Linked DNA regions of Saccharomyces cerevisiae S288C. The gene in region 1 interacts genetically with each later gene. Each region holds a gene or a part of one and is shown in the gene's direction. Other genes may lie near its edges. The genes, in order: ATG23, YNL092W and SAP1.

What was found.
Region 2: mutations in ATG23 (region 1) and YNL092W together harm fitness more than expected from each alone (negative genetic interaction), as found in Saccharomyces cerevisiae (one large-scale study listed by BioGRID).
Region 3: mutations in ATG23 (region 1) and SAP1 together harm fitness more than expected from each alone (negative genetic interaction), as found in Saccharomyces cerevisiae (one large-scale study listed by BioGRID).

The regions. Positions count from the first base shown.
Region 1 is NC_001144.5:999,690-1,003,340, reverse strand, and holds ATG23 (Atg23p), read left to right. Parts: upstream 1-1,637; coding exon 1,638-2,999; downstream 3,000-3,651. Other genes in the region: IMP dehydrogenase IMD3, read right to left, coding at 1-784; DNA/RNA helicase SEN1, read right to left, coding at 3,212-3,651. UniProt on the Saccharomyces cerevisiae protein: Required for cytoplasm to vacuole transport (Cvt) vesicle formation and efficient autophagy. Plays a role in ATG protein retrieval from the pre-autophagosomal structure (PAS) and is especially required for autophagy-dependent cycling of ATG9.
Region 2 is NC_001146.8:448,874-452,612, forward strand, and holds YNL092W (S-adenosylmethionine-dependent methyltransferase), read left to right. Parts: upstream 1-1,997; coding exon 1,998-3,200; downstream 3,201-3,739. Other genes in the region: phosphatidate phosphatase APP1, read left to right, coding at 1-501; Rab family GTPase YPT53, read left to right, coding at 995-1,657; NST1 (Nst1p), read left to right, coding at 3,535-3,739.
Region 3 is NC_001137.3:243,198-248,426, reverse strand, and holds SAP1 (putative AAA family ATPase SAP1), read left to right. Parts: upstream 1-1,923; coding exon 1,924-4,617; downstream 4,618-5,229. Other genes in the region: CAJ1 (Caj1p), read left to right, coding at 270-1,445; SPO73 (Spo73p), read right to left, coding at 4,816-5,229.

The DNA.
Region 1 (3,651 bases):
CCTTATCAGCATCGATAGTACCGATAGCAGCACCACATAACAGTTGCTTGGTGGTGGCAGATTTAGAAGCCAATGGATAGTTCTGATTTTTCATTAAATCAGTTCTGGAAAGCATAGAAACTAAGTTACCATTGTCGTCAACAATCAATAGCTTACCCTTTTTAATCTTCTTTAAAATTTCATTACCTTCAGACAATGTAATACCTTGTGCACCGGTGACAGGGTTTTTGGTCATAACATCTTGAACAAGCAAAGAGTTGTCTTCAACGAACTGAATATCACGAGAAGTGACGATACCCATCAATTTTCCGTTTCTTTTACCATCTTCTGTAACGGGGAAACCGGAAAATCCAAATCTTTCCTTCATACTCTTAGCTTCACCCACAGTAGTAGTTGGGGAAATCACTATAGGGTTGTTAATAAACCCATTTTCATAGTTCTTGACTCTTCTGACCATGTCAGCTTGGTCCTCTGGGGTACAGTTGTGGTGAATAAAACCGATACCACCCAACAAAGCCATGAAGATGGCCATTTCTGATTCTGTCACGGTGTCCATTGGAGAGGAAACGAATGGGGTGTTCAAAGTGATATTCCTTGTCAACTTAGTTTGTAGGCTAACTTCAGAAGATGGGAAATCAACCAGACCTGGCAAAACCAAAAAGTCGTTATAAGTCAACCCACCTCTGGTCTTGGAGTCCATCAACTCCTGGACAGACAAACCATCTAGTCTTGGTAAGCTCTTGGCGAATTCCAAGGCAGTCTTGTAGTCTCTAACGGCGGCCATTGCTTTTACTACTTTCGGAGTTATTAATTGCACTGATAATATTTACTGCTGTTAACCTGTCGATGACTTCTTTTCCTTAGAATAAAAGTGAGACAGATGAGATGACGTGCTTTTCTGCGAGTTTAGAAAGTCTTTCTAAGTTAAGTTATATAGAAGCAAGAAAGAAAAGAAATAGAGTAAAAAAGAGAAAGTTCCCAGTACACTAGGTGAAAATGCACAAGCCCACGAAACTGGAGTAAACCTCCAAGGGTCCCAACACTCAAAAATCTTGTTGGATCTCGGAAGGGCAAATTATTCAACTATTTATACCTTTCTATTTCTTCTTTTTTTTTTTTTTTTTTTCAGTGAAAAATTTTTCATTTTTCGGAAAAAGAAACGTGTGCGGCTTTGAAGGCTAATATTTATGTAATTAACCAGAGTTAGAAATGAACACAATAGTGGTTAAAGAAGCCACTGGGTCACTGGAAAAAAGTACATCTTGTTAGCCATCAAGTAACAGGTTTATGTATTGGGAATTATGGTTTTTCAAGTTCCCTTGTCTCTTTTTTCCCGATATCCTAGCCCTAGGACAACTTGTAGGGTATCAGCGCATATGTTCAAAAAATTTAAGGGCGTAAGCTCTGGCGTTTAGGTGCGCAATTAACAAAAGGTATAGATAGTCTTTTTATAGTGTAAATCATATACAAATAATAGAACACAGAGAACGTCTGTATATATCTATTGGAGAACCGGCTAAGGAATGGAAAAGTGAAGGATAGAGTACGTTTTAGTTCAAGTGATTATTTTCGTTTTCTTGTTCCACATTTTAACCTCGTTGTTCTATAAGGTAACAAAATAAAGTGAAGAAGTAAATATGGAACTGAATCAGGTTTTAGAAAAAAAGGAGCAGATTCTGCAATACTTAGGCACTCTGGTCGGGCTTCACGAAAAAGCGTTGTCTGATGTAAATTCGGCTTCCCAGGTGACAAGCATCCGGAAGGATATCACTATTTGCTTAAACGATCTATGCAGAATTAATGATCTCTTAGTATCCCATGATGGTCTATTGAAAAGAGAAATTGGGTCCTTACTTCGAGACAAACAAGAGCTACTAGAACTGAACGAAAGAGAGCAGCTTCTTTGGAAAGAGCGGAAGTCGTGGCATATTAAGCAAGAAACCGATGCTGCGCCGGCGGACTATGTTATCGATAAGGACGCCATAATTACCATTTCATCGCACCACCGGACATCACTAAACAAATATATCGAGTCAGTGGGGGCAGAAAATACAATACTATCCAATACGGATGATTCGGATGCAATGATCGAGGAAGTACAGAACGCTGAATCTTCTGCGGATCAAATGATACGTAATTACAAACTGTTACAATTATCTCATAAGCAAGCTAAATCAGAAATAATAAGGCTGGAAACTTTATTAAGAGACTTCAAAAAGGACAATAAATTCATTGAAGAGGAGTTAAAAAGGCAATCTGGACGGATACGTTCCGAAATGGGTAATATTGATTTTCATTTGTCCAAGATAGAGGAATCTAAGCATCAATTAATGAAAAGAATAGGATTCGAGTCGCCCCTGACACAGGAAAAATCACTATCAGAAAAGATATTCAATTTAAGGCTGTCCAGCGCGGATGAAGATTACAATGAGAGACAAACTATCAACATGAAAAATTTTGTTCATATGAAGGATCTCATAGAACTGAAAATTGAAGATCTACAAGAGCAACTAATGAGAAATAAAAATGAGTCTTCTACAGTACTAACGCAACGTGAATTATGGCTAGATTGTCAAAAAAAAGTAGGAGATTTGGAAAGCAAATTAATAACCAAACTTCGGAGCAGCAGCAACTCCAAAATACCTCCAAATGAAATGTCAGAAATGATCAATTCTACAATACAGTACCTAAATAACCTTCTTGACTCTTCTGATGAAAAGCTCACGACAACTTTAATATCAAACGAAAGGGACGTACTTTCGAAAGCTTGTGAAGAACTCCATAGCGAAAGTACCACTGCACAAGATGGGTCAAGCGCACTACCTTCTAAACCAATTGATATACACAAAAGCCATAAAGGGTCGAACGCGAGTTCAAATTTAAAACAGCCCTCGACTCCCTCATTCTTGGTTGCTAGCAAATCGCCACCAAAGATTGGCATTTCTGAAAGTGTAGTAAACGCTAATAAAAATGATGCCATATCAAAAAAAGTTGAATGAAATGCAAATAGCTAGAGTAGCCATGAGGATAATGTAAATTTAAACATTGTATGCCCACGTAATAGTCAAACTCTTTCACGTCAAATTGAAAAAAAATGTTCTTTTTGCTGAAATAATGAAAAATAATGAAAAATAATGTTGCTATTAAATTCAATATAAATGTATACACCAATATATATGCAGGTATAATTCCTAACACTTTTACTTCAAGATCATGATCTAGGCTTTCTTTTTTTTGGGATAAATGGGCTAGATGAAGCATTCCGTCTCGAACTGTTGCGTGTGCCTGTGGGCCCACTACCAGGTCCTTTGAATGCTGAAGATTGTGGTTGCGGATGGGGGTTTAAATCATATGGATCTTCTGCCTCAGCAGGATAGCTGTCTTGCGGATGGGCGGGCAGAGTTTCATGCAGTTCGCCTGTACCCACAGGAGCCGTTGAGTATTGATTCGCATTACCCACATGTTGAGAGAGGGTCCTATTTGCTCCATTCTGTCCATTTTGATTGGGTTCACCGTAATCGGAAGCAGTCAGGATCCTCGAAGAACCACCGGATAAAACACTATTTGAACTTCTGTGTTTTGTAATAGCAGCAGGTACCTGCGTCTGCTTTGCTTGCGAAACTTGTGGATCGTCGTATATACTAGCGCTGA
Region 2 (3,739 bases), on another chromosome or scaffold:
ATTTATATAAGATGTTGCTCTAATTCCATGAGTGATGTCCCATCGCATGATGAAGAAGTTATGAATGAAGTGAACAATATCATCGAATTACAACAACGGCCCATGCAAATGACCAAGTCTACCGTACGTACCAGGAGAAGACCACCACCACCTCCCATTCCTTCCACTCAAAAGCCATCGTTGACAGAAGAGCAAACCGAAAGTATAAGAATGTCACGCCGTAATAAAGATGAGAACAATGCTAAAAGAGTTGCCCCACCACCGTTGCCGAACAGACAGTTACCTAACTTAGACGCTAATACTTACTATGTACCATCCTCACAAAATGACTATGGCATGTATGGTGCTTTCATGGATAAAAAAGCAGATGAATGGAAGAGAAGAGTAATGGACTCAATTCAAAAATTGAGCAATCAAGACACCACATTGATGTTCTTTTCGGATCCGGCATTAAGTTTGGAAGACAGTATTCGCAGAATTAGGGAGAAGTATTCAAACTAAATACACTGTTATTTATATACATCGGGAGGGAGTTTAAAAATTGTATACACTAAAGTGACCTTATGAATTGGAGCCATTTTCAACGTTTTAGAGTGATGTTGCATCCTTTTCATCAGATCGGGAAATTAAAAAAACGGTTATAGAAGGGCTAAATGTAAATATGTAAATTTTATGAAGTCAAGAGTAAAGAAAATCTTCGGTTGCCGATCAAATACACTCTTACAAAATACCCTAAACTCAGTTTATCTTTCCATTCCAACTGATTATCGCGTACGCCTTGGTGACCAACCATACCCTAAAATGTCAATTTCCGGGGCGGAAGGGGTCCTTAAACTGCAAAGCCTCTTCCCATGTAAATAAAATAAATCCGTAGAATTTATTAAATATTGTCATATTATAAGTCGGGAAAGGCCTTCTGAATGCACGTATATTGACCAAATAGAGTTAGATTCAAATTATTTATTACATTTTTTCAGCATCGAAGTTAAGTAGAATGGATAAACATACAGCAGCTATTCCAACATTAACTATCAAAGTAGTCTTACTCGGAGAATCTGCTGTCGGGAAGTCCTCAATAGTCCTCAGGTTTGTATCTGACGATTTTAAAGAGAGCAAAGAACCTACTATTGGTGCCGCATTTTTAACAAAGAGAATTACAAGGGATGGCAAGGTCATTAAATTTGAAATATGGGATACGGCAGGCCAGGAGAGATTTGCTCCTTTAGCGCCTATGTACTACAGAAATGCTCAAGCTGCTTTGGTAGTTTTTGATGTTACTAATGAAGGGTCTTTTTATAAGGCTCAAAACTGGGTCGAAGAACTACACGAGAAGGTAGGACATGATATCGTTATTGCCTTGGTGGGGAACAAAATGGATTTGCTGAATAATGATGACGAGAATGAAAATAGGGCTATGAAAGCACCAGCTGTACAAAATCTCTGTGAAAGAGAGAACCTCTTATATTTCGAAGCAAGCGCTAAGACTGGTGAGAATATTTACCAGATATTTCAAACATTAGGCGAAAAAGTACCATGTCCTGAACAAAATACACGACAAAGCTCTACTCATGATCGCACAATTACCGATAATCAACGAATCGATCTCGAATCAACGACTGTAGAAAGTACTAGGGAGACTGGGGGTTGTAACTGCTAAACTGCAAGCAAAACAACAGCAAACGCGGCATATTCAGCGTCTTAGCGAAGCTTGCCATTGAAAAGAACAGTTCGTAACAACAGCTGGAAGAATAGTACTGGAAATTTTCAATTACTTTTGCAAAACAAGCACTTTTTTGTTTCACTTCCATTAGCCGCAAGAAATACACTTTTTTTAGGGGCGGGAATTTTCATCGCCAGATCGAGAATCACAAGGCCTTTACGTACTATAGTTTGTAATTTATACAAAATCAGCTACTGTTATTTTGGTGTACCAGCGGCAAAAATTGGTGAGGATCTGAAAATTAATTAGAGGTGAACACATATCAGTAATTTTGACTATGGACGAGAATGAATTTGATAATCAAAGGGAGAATAAAGCTGTAGCTCGAGTGATCATATCATTTCTTAAGTATGAAGAGTATGCCCTAAAGGAAATCTACAATTTGAGAGTGAAAAAATGGGCATCGATCTCAGATCGTCAAAAAGACATGGTACCAAACTATACAAAATATTTAGCTAATCTGAAAGCCGCAATTATAGAAAATGGCAAGTTCTTTAGAAGTGTCGCCGAATATGCCCTGCAATCAATAAGTTTTGAGCCAGGAGAAATCGTACAACCAAACGATTTAGATATGAGTAAAACATGCTCTTTACTTACGCAAGTTTATAGGGAGTGGTCCGCAGAGGCCATTTCTGAACGTAATTGCTTAAATTCGAGGCTTGTACCGTTTTTGAAGACCCTATCACCCCCAAAAGCCGACATTTTGATACCGGGTTGCGGCACAGGACGCCTTCTCGTGGATCTTAGCAGAATGGGCTATAATTGTGAAGGTAACGAATTTTCATATCACATGCTGCTTGTATCTCAATACATGTTGAATGCAGGATTACTCCAAAACCAAATTATTATCTATCCCTTCATACACTGTTTCTCCCACTGGAAAAAAATTGAAGATCAGTTGTCTCCCATTAAGGTGCCGGACATAGAAGCGTGGTCTTCAAATAAAGGTATGGGGTCCATGTCGATATGTGCTGGCTCGTTTGTTGATTGTTATGGTCGTAATCAAGGCACAAAAATCTCGTCACATTATACATTTTCGCGAAGGATGCAACTAAGTAGAGCAAAAGCTGAAAACTCCAAAGACGTTGTAGTAACAAACTTTTTTATAGATACGGGATCCAACATCTTGGATTATTTGGATACTATTGGCCACGTCTTGAAGCCAGGCGGAATCTGGTGCAATTTCGGCCCATTGCTTTATCATTTTGAAAATGACCATGGGGTTGAAACTACCTACGAAGTTAACCCTTACTCTGGGTTTCAAGATAAAATCAATGACTATACACCACTGATGGGTTTAGAGCTTTCTAGCGATGATATCATAAGCATTGCCACAAATCATCTGGACTTTGAATTAATACGGAGAGAGTCAGGAATACTTTGTGGGTATGGCCGCTACGCGGGTCCAGAAAGTTGCGCCATGCCTGGATACATGTGCCACTATTGGATCCTGAAGTCGAACCCCACCAATGAATCATAAGCTTACACAATAATCTAATTGCACTATATAGAAGTTGCTGACACAGCCGTTTTAGAGAACTCAGAATGTTACCCGCGCGGAAAATTCTTTTTGCTCCCTCTCGCTATGTTCTGTTTACCATATTGACAGTACTGGTTATCAGCCTAGATCCAGTAATACATAAAGCCCTCAATTTGAACTATATATCAAAGCTAGAAGAAGAGTGATTTGTCATAATTGATTCACTTTATAAGCTCCTTTATCGTTTCAGTTTCCAGGTGCATTTATCGCTTAAGGCCATTACTTTCAACAATAAGCAATCTTTATAAGTGAAAAATTGGGGAAATTGCCAAAGATGCCCCCAAACTCCAAGAGTAAGAGAAGAAAGAACAAATCCAAGCAACACAACAAGAAAAATGGCAACTCTGATCCTGAACAAAGTATAAATCCTACACAGCTAGTACCTCGAATGGAGCCAGAGTTGTATCATACAGAATCGGATTACCCAACTTCAAGAGTAATAAAAAGAGCGCCCAATGGCGATGTCATCGTGGAACCAA
Region 3 (5,229 bases), on another chromosome or scaffold:
TATGGATTGTTTTAGACCCTGGGAACGTCACTGCGGTGTTTTCGCCCGTCATACCAAGATGGGGCGGAGAACGGAAAATTTGATGGCGAATGTACACTGCCAAGGACAAACAGGGACGATAAAGTGTTAAAGTGGTGATATAGTCGGATCCGCGGTTAGCCGTAACCATTGCTTTCCAATGGTTTACGCCTGTAAAAAGAGCAACTTAGATAATTGTCGGCTTCACGTAATTAAGACGTATTAACTCAAAGGAAAAGAAAAGAGGGAATATGGTAAAGGAGACGGAGTATTATGATATTTTGGGCATCAAGCCTGAGGCCACGCCCACTGAAATCAAAAAGGCCTATCGTAGAAAGGCTATGGAAACACATCCGGACAAGCATCCTGATGACCCAGATGCTCAAGCAAAGTTTCAAGCCGTAGGCGAGGCCTACCAAGTCTTAAGTGATCCAGGGCTTCGTTCCAAGTATGACCAGTTTGGTAAGGAGGATGCTGTTCCTCAGCAAGGATTTGAAGATGCTTCTGAATACTTTACAGCAATATTCGGTGGTGATGGCTTCAAAGATTGGATTGGAGAATTTTCTTTGTTCAAAGAGCTAAACGAGGCAACAGAAATGTTTGGAAAGGAAGATGAGGAGGGTACAGCAGCCACTGAAACCGAAAAAGCAGATGAGAGCACTGATGGTGGAATGGTTAAGCATGACACTAATAAAGCTGAATCTTTGAAAAAAGATAAATTATCGAAGGAGCAAAGAGAGAAGCTAATGGAAATGGAGAAAAAAAGACGGGAAGATATGATGAAACAAGTCGACGAGTTGGCAGAAAAACTGAACGAAAAAATCTCTAGGTACTTAATTGCTGTGAAGTCCAATAACTTGGAGGAATTTACGCGAAAACTAGATCAAGAAATCGAGGATTTGAAATTAGAAAGTTTTGGTCTAGAGTTATTGTATTTATTGGCCAGGGTTTACAAGACAAAAGCGAATAATTTTATCATGTCCAAGAAGACTTACGGAATTTCTAAAATATTCACTGGTACACGCGACAATGCTAGATCTGTTAAATCAGCATACAATTTATTGTCTACAGGCTTAGAAGCTCAAAAAGCCATGGAAAAAATGAGTGAAGTCAATACTGACGAACTAGACCAATATGAACGTGCCAAATTTGAGTCCACAATGGCTGGTAAGGCACTTGGTGTCATGTGGGCTATGTCGAAATTTGAACTGGAAAGAAAACTAAAAGACGTTTGCAATAAGATTCTAAACGATAAAAAGGTCCCTTCCAAGGAACGTATTGCAAAGGCAAAAGCAATGCTGTTTATTGCCCACAAGTTTGCCAGTGCTAGAAGGTCACCAGAAGAAGCTGAAGAAGCTAGAGTTTTTGAAGAGCTAATCCTAGGTGAGCAGGAGAAGGAACACAAAAAACATACTGTGGCCAGATAAGCTCAGCAAGTTAATAACGCCTCATGTATATTTTTCATATATAGCGCAATCAATTACAAAGCGAAGAAAAAAAACCCTATGTATTCTAGACATATCACAGGCATACGGGTTTTCTCACACCAACCTTTCAAGTCTTCAGCACTTATGTTTTAACTTATTTTCTATTATTCAGTATATATATGGAATTAACACTGGCAACCCAAGCATCTTAGCCGAGATTCGCGGAGAAAATTGAAATCAAGAATAATAAAAATTCTTGATTCACGGTCATAAGAGGCTGAAGCAACAGCAACCGGCTCCCCAAGAACTACAATACGCGTCCGATATACTTTCTTATCAAATATATTGGTAATAATAAAGGCTGCAGTTCTTTTTTTAATATAGTCTTTTTACATTTATTGCAGCTAACAAACGCAATTTTTCTTTCCCTTTCACTCGTGCGGTTTTACCAGGATTGATTATATCGCACTGTGACACTATGGATTCACAAAGAAGCCATCATATTTTAACGAGATTAACCAAGATACGGAGAAGACCTCAACAACCGTTAACCGACTTTACAGAACTTTACAGTAGAATTGCCAATGAGACAATATATTACTTGAACCTAGAAGAGAAAAAACGATATAAAGAAGCATTGCAAGGATGGAAAGCGCTTACCACTGATGTACTATTCAAACAGACATTGATAGAGCATAACTACCCAAATACTCAATCATACACGAAAGATGAAGTTAGTTTACAGAACGGTATTCGAGAATTGTACCACAAGAGCGTTATGCATTTGAAAAGAGTCAAAAAATTGGTCCGAGAAGAGCCTGCTCCCAGGAATGATATGCCGTCATCCAAAACATACACTAATCATAGCTCATCTTTCACAAGGTCTACTGAACCACCTCCTGTATTCCAAATGGTTCCCGGAAGAATGATGAAAACATTAAGAAATAGAAATGCATGCGGCTATAAAACCGCATACTCCAACCCCTCACTATCATCATATGGTAACAGCACATCGATAAAACGCGGAGAAGATGCGGAGAACATTAGAGTAAATTTTGTACCTTCTAAGCCTTTATCCAACAATGCAAGCAGACAGCACAAGAACCCTATTGAGCACAATGATCCTCCACTTAAGAAGGAAACTGAACTGTACTCAGATAAATATATCTCAGAGCCAATATTGATAGATTTGACTAATGACGAGGATGATCACGATGTCGGCATTTTAAAAGGACACAACGTTTTTGATGAAGAAGAAAGTGATGGTTTCGAGTTTGATGTGTCCGATTACTATGATAATTTCTCCGAAGTCGACGTAGAAGAAGAAGAAGAAGAAAAAGAGGAAAGACGACGTATAAAAACGTTAGAAGCAATTCAACAGCAAATGTCTGACTTGTCTGTTACTTCTTCTACGTCCAGTAATAAGAGTGTAAGTTCTTCAGAAAATGTTCCCGGATCATGCATACAGTCCCTGCCGACTACCGCCCCTGCTCTTCCTTCATTACCTCCACCTCCTTTATTAAATGTCGATAGAGCGTCCAGCACTGGCGCTCTAAAGCCACATAGTTTAGAAACTTCTACTACTATGGATTCATCAAAGATTAGGAATCCTCAAATATCAAAATTAATGAAGAATAATCACGTACCATACTTAAAGGGTACCAAATCAACGCCCACTCTTATCACTAAATCAACGCCAACATTTATTACAAGATCAAAAAGTAATACAAAACCAATCATCAAATCCAATGCATCGTCTCCGACCTCTTCTCTGACTGTTCCAAATTCAGTAATTCAAAAACCCAAAACGGCTGCAATGGCTGCTAAGAGAGTTCTGAACAGCAAAAAGGTTGCGAGTAACCCCGCATTAAACACTACGAAGAAGAGTCACCCCATTTTGAAATCCAAAACGGCGAAAGTCCCAAATTCCAGTTCGAAGAAAACGAGTAGCCATCCTTCCAGACCTGTAAGTAACTCAAAACCATACTCGCATGGTGCATCCCAGAATAAGAAGCCATCGAAAAATCAAACCACGTCTATGAGTAAAACGAATCGAAAAATACCAGCACAAAAAAAAATCGGTTCTCCAAAAATAGAAGATGTTGGAACAGAAGATGCCACTGAACATGCCACTTCCCTAAATGAGCAAAGAGAAGAGCCTGAAATAGACAAGAAAGTCCTGAGGGAGATTTTAGAAGATGAAATTATTGATAGTTTACAAGGTGTAGATAGGCAAGCTGCAAAGCAAATTTTTGCCGAAATCGTAGTGCACGGAGATGAAGTTCATTGGGATGATATTGCTGGTTTAGAAAGTGCAAAATATTCTTTGAAGGAAGCAGTTGTCTATCCGTTTTTGAGACCAGACTTATTCAGGGGGTTACGTGAACCAGTCAGGGGGATGCTCTTATTTGGACCACCAGGTACAGGTAAAACAATGCTAGCGAGAGCTGTAGCTACAGAGTCGCACTCCACCTTTTTCTCTATTAGTGCTTCCAGTTTGACATCTAAATACTTGGGTGAAAGTGAAAAATTAGTGAGGGCACTATTTGCAATTGCCAAAAAATTGTCACCTTCTATAATATTTGTTGATGAAATTGACTCTATCATGGGTAGTAGGAATAACGAAAATGAAAATGAGTCAAGCCGAAGGATAAAGAATGAATTTCTTGTTCAGTGGTCATCCTTGTCCAGCGCAGCGGCTGGTTCAAACAAAAGTAACACTAACAATTCTGACACCAATGGCGACGAAGATGATACAAGGGTACTGGTACTTGCCGCGACAAACTTACCATGGTCTATTGATGAGGCTGCAAGGAGAAGATTTGTGAGAAGACAATATATCCCATTACCAGAGGACCAGACCAGACACGTTCAATTTAAGAAGCTTCTTTCCCATCAAAAGCACACGTTAACCGAATCAGATTTTGATGAACTGGTAAAGATTACTGAGGGCTATTCAGGAAGTGATATAACGTCTTTAGCGAAGGATGCTGCCATGGGCCCACTACGAGATCTGGGTGATAAGTTATTAGAAACAGAGAGGGAGATGATAAGACCCATAGGCCTTGTGGATTTTAAGAACAGTTTAGTGTATATCAAGCCCTCTGTATCCCAGGACGGATTAGTGAAGTACGAAAAGTGGGCTTCACAATTCGGATCATCAGGTTCATGATGATGATAATAATAATAATAATATAATAATAATGGTAATAATAAATAATATTCTAGCCTAGCTGGACAAACTGTGTGCACATAAGCGGATCGATAAAATATGTTCTGCATAATGTCACCTTTTCTTTTTTTTTTTTTTTTTTTTCTTTTTTTTGACTACTTAGTTTGTTAAACAATTTAATATTAGCGTAAACTATTACTAATCTAATCCATGACTGGTCGTAGGTAGTCTTACCCAGACCCTTCTTCTCACCAAGCCATTTTTCGATTTCCACCTAGAGTTATTGAAATTCCAGCTATAACACCATCCTTGATCGTCAATATCGTACTTTTCCTTGTAATCCATCAGTACGAACCACTTTGTCATCTGTGAACTGCTACTGCCTGCAGTGCGTTCAGTACTCAGATCGATAGGATACAGTTCTATGAAGTTCGATATAGTATTTTTCGACAGGGCAATTAACGAGCCATTTTCAGTGTTTAGTCTTTGAAATTGTGGTGGGTCAACGTGAGGCAGTAAAATCTTGGGAGAAAATAGTGGGTAACCAAGTAAAGTTATGCCTCTCTCGTTTTCTATGAGTACGTCCTCCGGTAAAGCAGAGAAATCCTTCAA